Linked DNA regions of Arabidopsis thaliana. The protein of the gene in region 1 interacts with the protein of each later gene in a pairwise test. Each region holds a gene or a part of one and is shown on either strand. Other genes may lie near its edges.

The links. The genes of interacting proteins can lie anywhere in the genome.
Region 2: the proteins of AT3G24530 (region 1) and RLK902 interact in a protein complementation assay, tested with the Arabidopsis thaliana proteins (one large-scale study listed by BioGRID).

The regions. Positions count from the first base shown.
Region 1 is NC_003074.8:8,944,847-8,949,786, reverse strand, and holds AT3G24530 (AAA-type ATPase family protein / ankyrin repeat family protein), read left to right. Parts: upstream 1-1,769; 5' UTR 1,770-2,000; coding exon 2,001-2,144; exon of another isoform or gene 2,145-2,390; coding exon 2,391-2,501; exon of another isoform or gene 2,502-2,578; coding exon 2,579-2,677; intron 2,678-2,764; coding exon 2,765-2,875; intron 2,876-2,965; coding exon 2,966-3,269; intron 3,270-3,353; coding exon 3,354-3,493; intron 3,494-3,572; coding exon 3,573-4,109; 3' UTR 4,110-4,402; downstream 4,403-4,940.
Region 2 is NC_003074.8:6,104,333-6,109,257, forward strand, and holds RLK902 (receptor-like kinase 902), read left to right. Parts: upstream 1-1,575; 5' UTR 1,576-1,759; coding exon 1,760-3,110; intron 3,111-3,505; coding exon 3,506-4,098; 3' UTR 4,099-4,405; downstream 4,406-4,925. Other genes in the region: AT3G17830 (Molecular chaperone Hsp40/DnaJ family protein), read left to right, coding at 1-171.

The sequences.
Region 1 (4,940 bases):
ATACCTCAAACATTGGTATTACGAATGTACTCCAAAGTTTTAGTTACTTCCCTATCCCAAACATTAGCCTCAAGTTCAGCCTCTCTATCTGATATCTCGGAGCAAAGGCAGCATACTGATACAAACCAAAACTGAAGATGAGTGGGCTTTAGTGGGGCTTTGATTTAGGCTTAGTGTTAAGCCCAATTTCCTTTTATTGTCTTCTACTTAAACTTTTCTTCTTCTTATCAAATTTTGGTCAATATCGGTCAACACCGGTTAATACTGGGTAATGCCGGATTCTGGTCAAAGTAGGATGTCGTGTATGTTCGTATGTGATGTCAATATTTCGTGTAGCTAACGAGACATTTTTAAAGTCTGCATGTGTGGCGATGTGTTGGCTTGTACTCCGTGTAGCTGATAAACATTTTTTCTATCGAAAACGATCAACAACAATATCAATCTAAATTTCTCTCTTATCTCTCTTCTTCTTCACCGTAAAGGTGCAATACTTCTCTCCCTCCATTTCTTTCTGTTCTTTTCATCTTAGATAAGCTTCCGGAGCTTATCACGTACCTTCGGATGATAGATTGGAGGACATAGTTTCCATAGCAGTCATCCATCAAGCTTCCAAAACACAAGAGAGCTTACGCAATACGAATGAGGCAGTAGAACCAGCTCCATATTCAACAACAGGTCTTACGAGAAAATTTGCATACTTGTGTGTGGCGAAATGGGGAAAAAAACCGGAAATCTCTTGGACCAACATTGGCGCAACATCTGGTTTGTGAGAGGCTATTAGAATCTGAAGCAAATGGCAACTACAAAAAGAAGAGAATATTCACTATAATGTCAAAGAATTGAATGAAACAATAACGTATACTCCCTCTGCTTCACAATGGGTAAATGGGAGATAAGAGCGATCAATAACTGAGGACTTGCAAGCTTTAAGAGGATCTTCACATTGTTCAATCCATTACTGTGACTCGTAAGAGAGATGAGTTGTTGTAGTATGATCGACAATAATGGCTCAAACTGATCAAAAGAAAACTCATGAAAGATTACAAAACAAATGATGTAGTTGACCACCGACAAAGATAAAACTAAGTAAAGTTCGTATAAAATAAAGTTATTAATTTGAAATTTCTGAACTAGAAAGAGATAAAAAAATAAAGAAAATAATTAATTATGTGTAGTATGCATATGTGTCTGAATGGATCAGTAACATTTGGCTACCTCAATCAAATCATCAAATCAATTGTATTATTATAGAAAATCTGAAGTATTAAAGTATATTTTTAAATTCTAATCAAATAAACTGTTCAAATTTAATAAATCAACGTATTTTTTCTAATTTAAATAACAAACAATCATGAATAGTTTATTTGCTTCAAAATTTGATTTATTAAATTTGAATTTCGTTTTCCTATATGTTTGATTTATTTATATATAACACTAATGGCCAAGTTTTTAAATAGTCTACTAAAAATTAGATAATTATTTAAATAGACTAAAAATTTCTCCAAAAATGATACATCAACATGATAATTTTGTTTTAAAAAAGATAATGAAATTTTAAGAATACTTCTCATTTAATCTATAAGGTATTTTACGGCCGTAGCTATAATTTTTTATTTTAAAAAAGTTAGTTAAGAGTGAAATGAGAAATATAATTGTAATTTGTAATAGTGATTATATGATTAGGTTAATCAATGAAATAATGGGGCAACCAAAGCTTAGCTGGGTTTAGGAAGACGCCAGGAAAGTAAAAAAACATAAAAAGTCAGGTAGGGGTAAATTAGTCTTTTCAAATACCATGAAGAAAGAAGAGACGCCAAAGAAAAGACTAGTGACGAAAGAGGAAGACGCGGAGGTACTCTCATTCTCTAATCTATTTCTTCGATAGTGTTGATTCTCCGCAAAATCCTCTCGAGAGAATCTTTCCCAAAAGAGATTAGATTTGGTGGAAGAAAAGAGTTCTTCGTCTTCTTGTTGTTGTTGAGGATTGAAGAAGAAGAGAAATGAACCGACAAAACGGTGGAGGGCAGCGGCTGAGATCCGCTAGACCCACCACAATTCACGATTGTGCTCTCTCCGGCGATCTTATTGCTTTACAGAGACTTCTTAAAGACAATCCTTCTCTTCTCAATGAACGCAATCCCGTCGTAATGTCCAAATCTTGACTCTTTCTTTATGTATGCATTTTGATTCCGGGATGTGTTTGATTCGGTGGGTCGATTTAGATTGTAGCTGAATTTTGGAATCTGGATGCAAAATTTGAACTTTTAGATAGGGTCTGATTTCGAATCTCGACAGGATTCATGATCTTCAAGCTTTGTATATGCATGTGAATCTATAAAAAGCAAACTTTATTGAAATGTGTGTTGTATTGACTTTGATTAGTATTGCAGATGTATCATACGCCACTTCATGTTTCTGCTGGTAATGGTAATGTTGATATTGTTAAGTATCTTCTCGCTTGGACTGGATCTGATAAAGTTGAGTTAGAAGCAATGAATACTGTGAGTTTGGTTTGCTTTCTGTTTTCTTCTTTGCTTGAGCTTTTGATTTGTCATTGATCGTTTTCAATGTTGTTTAGTATGGTGAGACTCCATTGCATATGGCAGCTAAGAACGGTTGTAATGAAGCTGCAAAGCTACTCCTTGAGAGTGGTGCTTTTATCGAAGCTAAAGCCAGCGTAATTTCCTCTATTTGATTGATTATAAGGTGGGAAGTAACAACTATGACGATAGTTTGGACTGATTTGGTTTTGGTTTTTATGTAGAATGGTATGACACCGTTGCATCTTGCGGTATGGTACTCAATTACTGCTAAAGAGATCTCGACTGTTAAGACACTGCTTGATCATAACGCAGATTGCAGTGCAAAAGATAATGTATGTTCCACCTCTGAGATTATTGGTTTCTTTTGTTTTAGGGAATTATGGTATTGTTTGTGTAATAGCTGTGGGAGTTTGTATTTACAGGAAGGGATGACTCCTTTGGACCATCTGCCTCAAGGGCAAGGCAGTGAGAAGTTACGGGAATTACTGCGGTGGTTTCTCCAAGAGCAGAGGAAAAGAAGTGCGCTTGAGCAATGTGGTAAGACAAAAGCCAAGATGGAACTACTTGAGGATGAGTTATCAAATATTGTTGGATTAAGTGAGCTGAAGACACAACTGAGGAAATGGGCGAAAGGAATGCTTTTAGATGAAAGGCGAAGGGCTCTTGGGCTAAATATTGGAACCCGAAGACCTCCGCATATGGCATTTCTTGGAAACCCTGGAACAGGTGAAAGGATAATGGTTTATGATTATACATCTCTGTCTTTAAATCAAACCAATACATGACTGCTTTTGTTGATCCAAAACACAGGTAAAACCATGGTAGCTCGAGTTCTCGGGAAGCTGCTTAACACGGTTGGAATTTTACCAACTGATAAGGTAACAGAAGTACAGCGTACAGATTTGGTGGGTGAGTTTGTTGGCCATACAGGACCAAAGACCAGGAGAAAGGTGAAAACACTGTTCATAATCTTCTGGTTTTACTTGTGGGTTTGGTTTCAAGAATCTAAAACTTTCAATTTCTGGACAGATCCAAGAAGCTGAGGGAGGAATTCTGTTTGTGGATGAAGCATACAGATTGATCCCGATGCAAAAGGCGGACGACAAGGACTACGGTCTAGAAGCTCTGGAAGAAATCATGTCAGTCATGGACACAGGGAAAATTGTGGTGATATTTGCAGGATACAGCGAGCCCATGAAGCGTGTGATCGCATCAAACGAAGGGTTTTGCAGAAGGGTCACAAAGTTTTTCAATTTCAGCGACTTCAGTGCCAAGGAACTGGCGCAGATACTACACATCAAGATGAACAACCAAGGAGAGGACACTCTGTTCTATGGTTTCAGATTGCATGAGTCCTGCACTTTGCAGGAGATAGCGTCACTGATAGAGGCAGAAACAACGGAAAAGCAGAGGAAAGAGATGAATGGAGGATTGGTGGACACGTTACTTGTTAACGCGAGGGAGAATCTTGATCTCCGACTTAGCTTTGAGTGTGTTGACACTGAAGAGATTTGTACAATCAAGTTGGAGGATCTAGAGGCCGGGCTTCGAGTTTTCTCGCAGTGAAAAGAAACTTCTGATGGCTAATAATTGGTTAGTATTACAAATTGTATTGATTCAATTCTTTACATCATATATTCTTTATGTTTTTGTCCCCCTCAAGATCTTGTAGGAGGAGAGGCTTTGGTTTCAACTTCCATTGTTTGATCAAATCTATTTCTGTTGTATAAAACTATATTGATATTTTGTCTTTTCACTTTTCTCATATTTTTTTGTAAAATGTCTTTCTATTTCTTTTAATTCATAGTAGTGTTATTTATGGTGCCAACGATTTTCATGTAAAAGTGTTGCGTTTGGTTCGAACTTCGAATTCGAACCAAACTTGTCAACCTTCTACACATTCGATATTCAAATACAAGATTTTGGTCCATCATATTGGATACCGAAAACCTTTTTGGCACTTGATCAAGCCTTAAATCTTTTCTGGATAGTCTCGATATCTATTATCAGAAAGAGTTTGAAAGTGATCAATTCAAGATCCCAAATCTTAAGTTAACCAAAATGCATACAATCCTTTACGCCATATTTTGACGATCAAATGATTAACTTTACTTCCTTCTCTTCTTGTTTAACAAAACCATTGTTTTTTTTCTTGTTTGATAAACTCTATCGGTTGATCCGGTTAGTCCGGATGGAAACGTACCAAAATGTTTTGGAGTGGACTTTTCCTCGAATTGTCACTATTCCGAGTTTGGAATGCTTTCCGACTAATGTCAAAGGGTAGTGAAGCCGCATGCATTTCTGATTACCATGTAAACCAATTAGGTCAAACCCCAACTAACAGACTTGTGTTTTTGTTTACAAGAAAAATCGAACTCGGATCTAAAAGTTTTCCCT
Region 2 (4,925 bases), 2.8 Mb from region 1:
TCAAGAACGAAATTTGGGACTATGAGCTTAAACCCATCATTACCATTACGAAGAATGAAAGTGTCAGAGACTTCAATTGCTTTTTCAGTCTTGGCTCTGTGCGTTATAACCTCGGCTGTTGCATTGGTACAGAAGAAGGGTAATCGCTTGAAACAAAAGAAAGAAACTTAATTTCGTCAAAAACCCTGAAACCCCACAGGTAGAAGTTTAATTTCAAGTAACAGAGAGCTTTTTACAAGATTTAAAAGGCCCTCGGTCATACAATTCTAGTTTCTAGAGATTGTTTGTCACGCAGAAGAGATATGATCTTGTATGTATGTTTTATCATTTATATATGGTTAAGAGCCTAGTTGTGATATACAACGAAAGGAATGTTATTACTTGAACAAATGTTTATGTATGCTAGACCAGCTTAAACCGTGACAGAACTATGCTTTGAACTCAATTCAGTCCTCTTATTTACTTTGTTTGTCCCTCTCTCATTAGAGGAACCTTTTTAGGCAATCAAGAAAAGGTTTCCCATAATCCCATATCTATTAGTATAGTCTTTTATTGCTTAGTGGGTCTCAACACACAGCTACTATACTTAGTATTTACATTATGATGACTAACGTCTTTATCTTCCAAAGTAAAACAATAGTAAAGCCAGCTAGATAGTTAAAAACACAACTCAATAGTATACCTTTTGTTAAATGGCTTAAAAACAACTCAATATTCCAACTACCAAACTGTTTATCCACATGTGCGATCGAAAATAGATCCATTAAATTACTACACTTCATATAGTTTTACTCTTTTCTTCTAAAATGTAACGCCCAACCACATATCAATGTAACCGTCGTGAATCTTTTTTCATCTTTTATTGTAAATTATCCAAAATATGAATCACAATAATATTACCTTTGTGGACCATGAAATAATTTATTCGATGGATAGAAAAATTGGTAAGATAGTAAGATTAATGGGACCCTTTAGATTGATGCCGTTGATATGCAGAGAGTGGAGACAATAAAAAAACAGAGAATGCGTTACTTGTAAATAAAAGAGCCTACTTTGAATGCTGTTAAATTATTGTTGTTGGCTTTTTTACATGTTTATGGTCCTACCTTTCTCTGCATACCCATGTTCATTTTTTTCTTTTCTTTTACAACCATGCATTATCATACTACTATAGTAAGAAAAAATCAATTTTATTATTAAAGAAGCAAAACAAAAAAAAATACATAGAATTAAGTGTTATCTTGAGAAGAGTGATTCCACTTTACTCAGATGCAGGGAATTTCATAATCAAAACCTTTGTATTCCATTTCTCCATAAACACACACACCCACTTGCTAATTTTCTTGTTAATCCGATTGATTATTAAACTCTAAGTTTTTGTAATCCAGTTAATAATCTTTAGCAGTTGGAATTTAGATAAGACAACACAGCTTAGTGGTACGAATGATTCACATAAGATTCTATAATATCAATAAGTTAAAACATAAAAACCAATAATAGAAATTAAAAAAAAAAAAATACAAATATTTTTGTCGAAGCATATAAAGACATACGTCACTGTTGTATAGAAATTGTCGTTTTTGTCACATTTAGATTTTAATTTGAAAAAATTTCAAAACTCGAAAAAAACAAAAAGTGGAGAAAAAGAGAAAGAGAGAGTGTTAAGAGTGTTGACTAGCTTCACTCTTTCTCTGTAAACCACACACACAGCTTCTTCACTGAGAGCTTTTTTCTAGGGTTTCTCTCTTTGTTTCTTACAATGCGACTCTTCTTCACACCGTCAATGTCCAATCTCTCCATATTCTTCTCGATTCTTCTCCTTTCTCTTCCTCTTCCGTCAATCGGAGATCTCGCCGCCGACAAATCCGCTCTTCTCTCTTTTCGTTCCGCCGTCGGTGGTCGTACATTACTCTGGGACGTCAAGCAAACCTCACCATGCAACTGGACCGGCGTCTTATGCGACGGTGGTCGTGTTACTGCTCTTCGTCTTCCCGGTGAAACGCTCTCCGGTCATATACCGGAGGGTATTTTTGGTAATTTAACTCAGCTCCGGACGCTTAGTCTCCGTCTCAATGGTCTTACTGGTTCTCTTCCTTTGGATCTCGGAAGCTGCTCCGATCTTCGGCGTTTGTACCTGCAGGGTAACAGATTCTCCGGTGAGATTCCGGAGGTTTTGTTTAGTCTTAGTAACCTTGTTAGGTTGAATCTAGCTGAGAATGAATTTAGTGGAGAGATCTCGTCAGGGTTTAAAAACCTTACTAGGCTTAAGACTCTGTACCTGGAGAATAACAAGCTCTCTGGCTCTCTTTTAGACTTGGATTTGTCTTTGGATCAGTTCAACGTTTCTAATAACTTGTTGAACGGATCTATACCTAAGAGTTTGCAGAAGTTTGATTCTGATTCGTTTGTGGGAACTTCTCTCTGCGGCAAACCGCTTGTTGTCTGCTCTAATGAGGGAACTGTGCCAAGCCAGCCAATTTCTGTTGGCAATATTCCCGGAACTGTTGAAGGAAGTGAGGAGAAGAAGAAAAGGAAGAAGCTTTCTGGTGGAGCTATAGCTGGAATAGTGATTGGATGTGTGGTTGGTTTGTCCCTGATTGTTATGATTTTGATGGTTCTCTTTAGGAAAAAGGGGAACGAGAGAACAAGGGCCATTGACCTTGCAACCATCAAGCACCATGAAGTTGAAATTCCTGGCGAGAAAGCGGCCGTGGAAGCACCGGAGAATAGGAGCTATGTAAATGAGTACTCTCCGTCTGCAGTGAAAGCTGTGGAAGTGAACAGTTCAGGGATGAAGAAGTTAGTGTTTTTTGGGAATGCGACAAAGGTCTTCGATCTTGAGGATCTGTTGAGAGCTTCAGCGGAGGTTCTGGGGAAAGGAACGTTCGGGACAGCTTATAAAGCGGTGCTTGACGCGGTGACATTGGTGGCTGTGAAGAGACTGAAGGATGTAACGATGGCGGACAGAGAGTTTAAGGAGAAGATTGAGGTTGTTGGGGCGATGGATCATGAGAACTTGGTGCCCTTGAGAGCGTACTATTACAGTGGAGACGAGAAGCTGCTTGTCTATGACTTCATGCCTATGGGAAGCTTATCAGCTCTCTTACACGGTGAGAACTACCCCTCTCTTTCTTTCTCAGCGAAAAATTTGATTTTTATTGTTAATAGTTCTCTGCTGAATCTTAAGTTTGGCATAATTAGTAATGGATTCGTTAATATACATTACTGTTAAGAAAGAAATGACAAAGATTCTATCATGAAATGATTAGTTTGGTACTGCATCACATTGACAAGGATCAGTGAAGAGTTTTTATCATTCACATGGCTTACACAGGACGTCTATGAATTAGTGGGGACAGTAGATAACCTTGGATTCCTTGACTAGCTGTGATAATTGATCTTTTAGAATTGTATTTTGAACAAAGAAAAATCCAGACCTCCTGTGTTCTACTTTCAGACAGTAGTTTTTTTTGTGTATTGAGCTTAATGTCATGCTATGTTACAGGAAACAAAGGTGCAGGCCGGCCTCCATTGAACTGGGAAGTCAGATCAGGCATCGCCCTTGGAGCTGCTCGTGGCTTAGACTATCTTCACTCACAAGACCCACTGAGCTCTCACGGAAACGTCAAGTCCTCCAATATCCTCTTAACAAACTCCCATGACGCACGAGTGTCTGATTTCGGCCTGGCTCAGCTTGTAAGCGCCTCATCCACAACCCCAAACCGGGCCACTGGGTACCGTGCGCCAGAAGTAACTGACCCGAGGCGTGTCTCACAGAAAGCGGACGTGTACAGCTTTGGTGTGGTGTTGCTAGAGTTGCTCACCGGAAAAGCTCCGTCTAACTCGGTGATGAACGAGGAAGGAATGGATTTGGCGAGGTGGGTGCATTCAGTGGCGAGAGAGGAGTGGAGGAATGAGGTTTTTGACTCGGAGCTGATGAGTATCGAGACAGTTGTCTCGGTGGAAGAAGAGATGGCGGAAATGCTGCAGCTGGGCATTGACTGTACAGAGCAGCACCCAGACAAGCGGCCAGTTATGGTGGAGGTGGTGAGAAGGATCCAGGAGTTGCGCCAATCGGGTGCAGATCGGGTGGGGTAAGACCATCAGATGAAAGGAGACTTGAGACATGAGTCTGTTCGATGATCTGAAGCGGCGACGTTTTCAGTGTTTAGTTTTAAGAATATGGCGGGAATTAGAGTTGGGGTCGTTAATTAGATGTTTTTAATTTTGGTTTTTTTTTTTTGGTTTCTTTCATGTGTGGGCACTGATGATGAGGAGTTTCGTGGTGGTTGTAATTATTAGTGCTTTTAACTTTAACTTTATTTTCAATATTGTTTTTCAGCTTTTTGTCTCTATGATATGATAGTAAGCAATGCAGACAAAAAAAGAAGATAGTATAGTTTAAATTCATATTAATACATAGACTAACGGACATGAAACTTGCAGTAAGACGACAGGTGATAATGTAATGTCTTTATGATCATACATTCACATTTACGCCTGCTTATGGCAATCCAATGGCATGACAGCTTTTTGTATAAGTGGATATATCAAGTCACATGTTACACGATTACATGGCTGGATCCAAATGTAGACATGGGAAGACCTCATACGACGTCATGTTGGTATGTTTTGGATTATTTCTTGTTTGAACTTGTTCGCCAAAAGTCCAAGATAAAGTTGTGGGCAAATTTGTTGATGACAACTAAATAAATCTAAAATTGTTGAGAGGTTATGTCTTAAATGGTATTTAAAATTATTAAAGATTAAGTAGGTTGCGAGCTCTCTTATCTTTACTGAGGTAGACCGATTGCTGCCGCTGCTAACTCAAAACGCAAAACGCTACCTCACCACTCTCATGTCCTTGTGATTATAGAAATATGGGAAAAGTACCAATACCGCGCTGGTGGCTGCGTTTGCGTCCC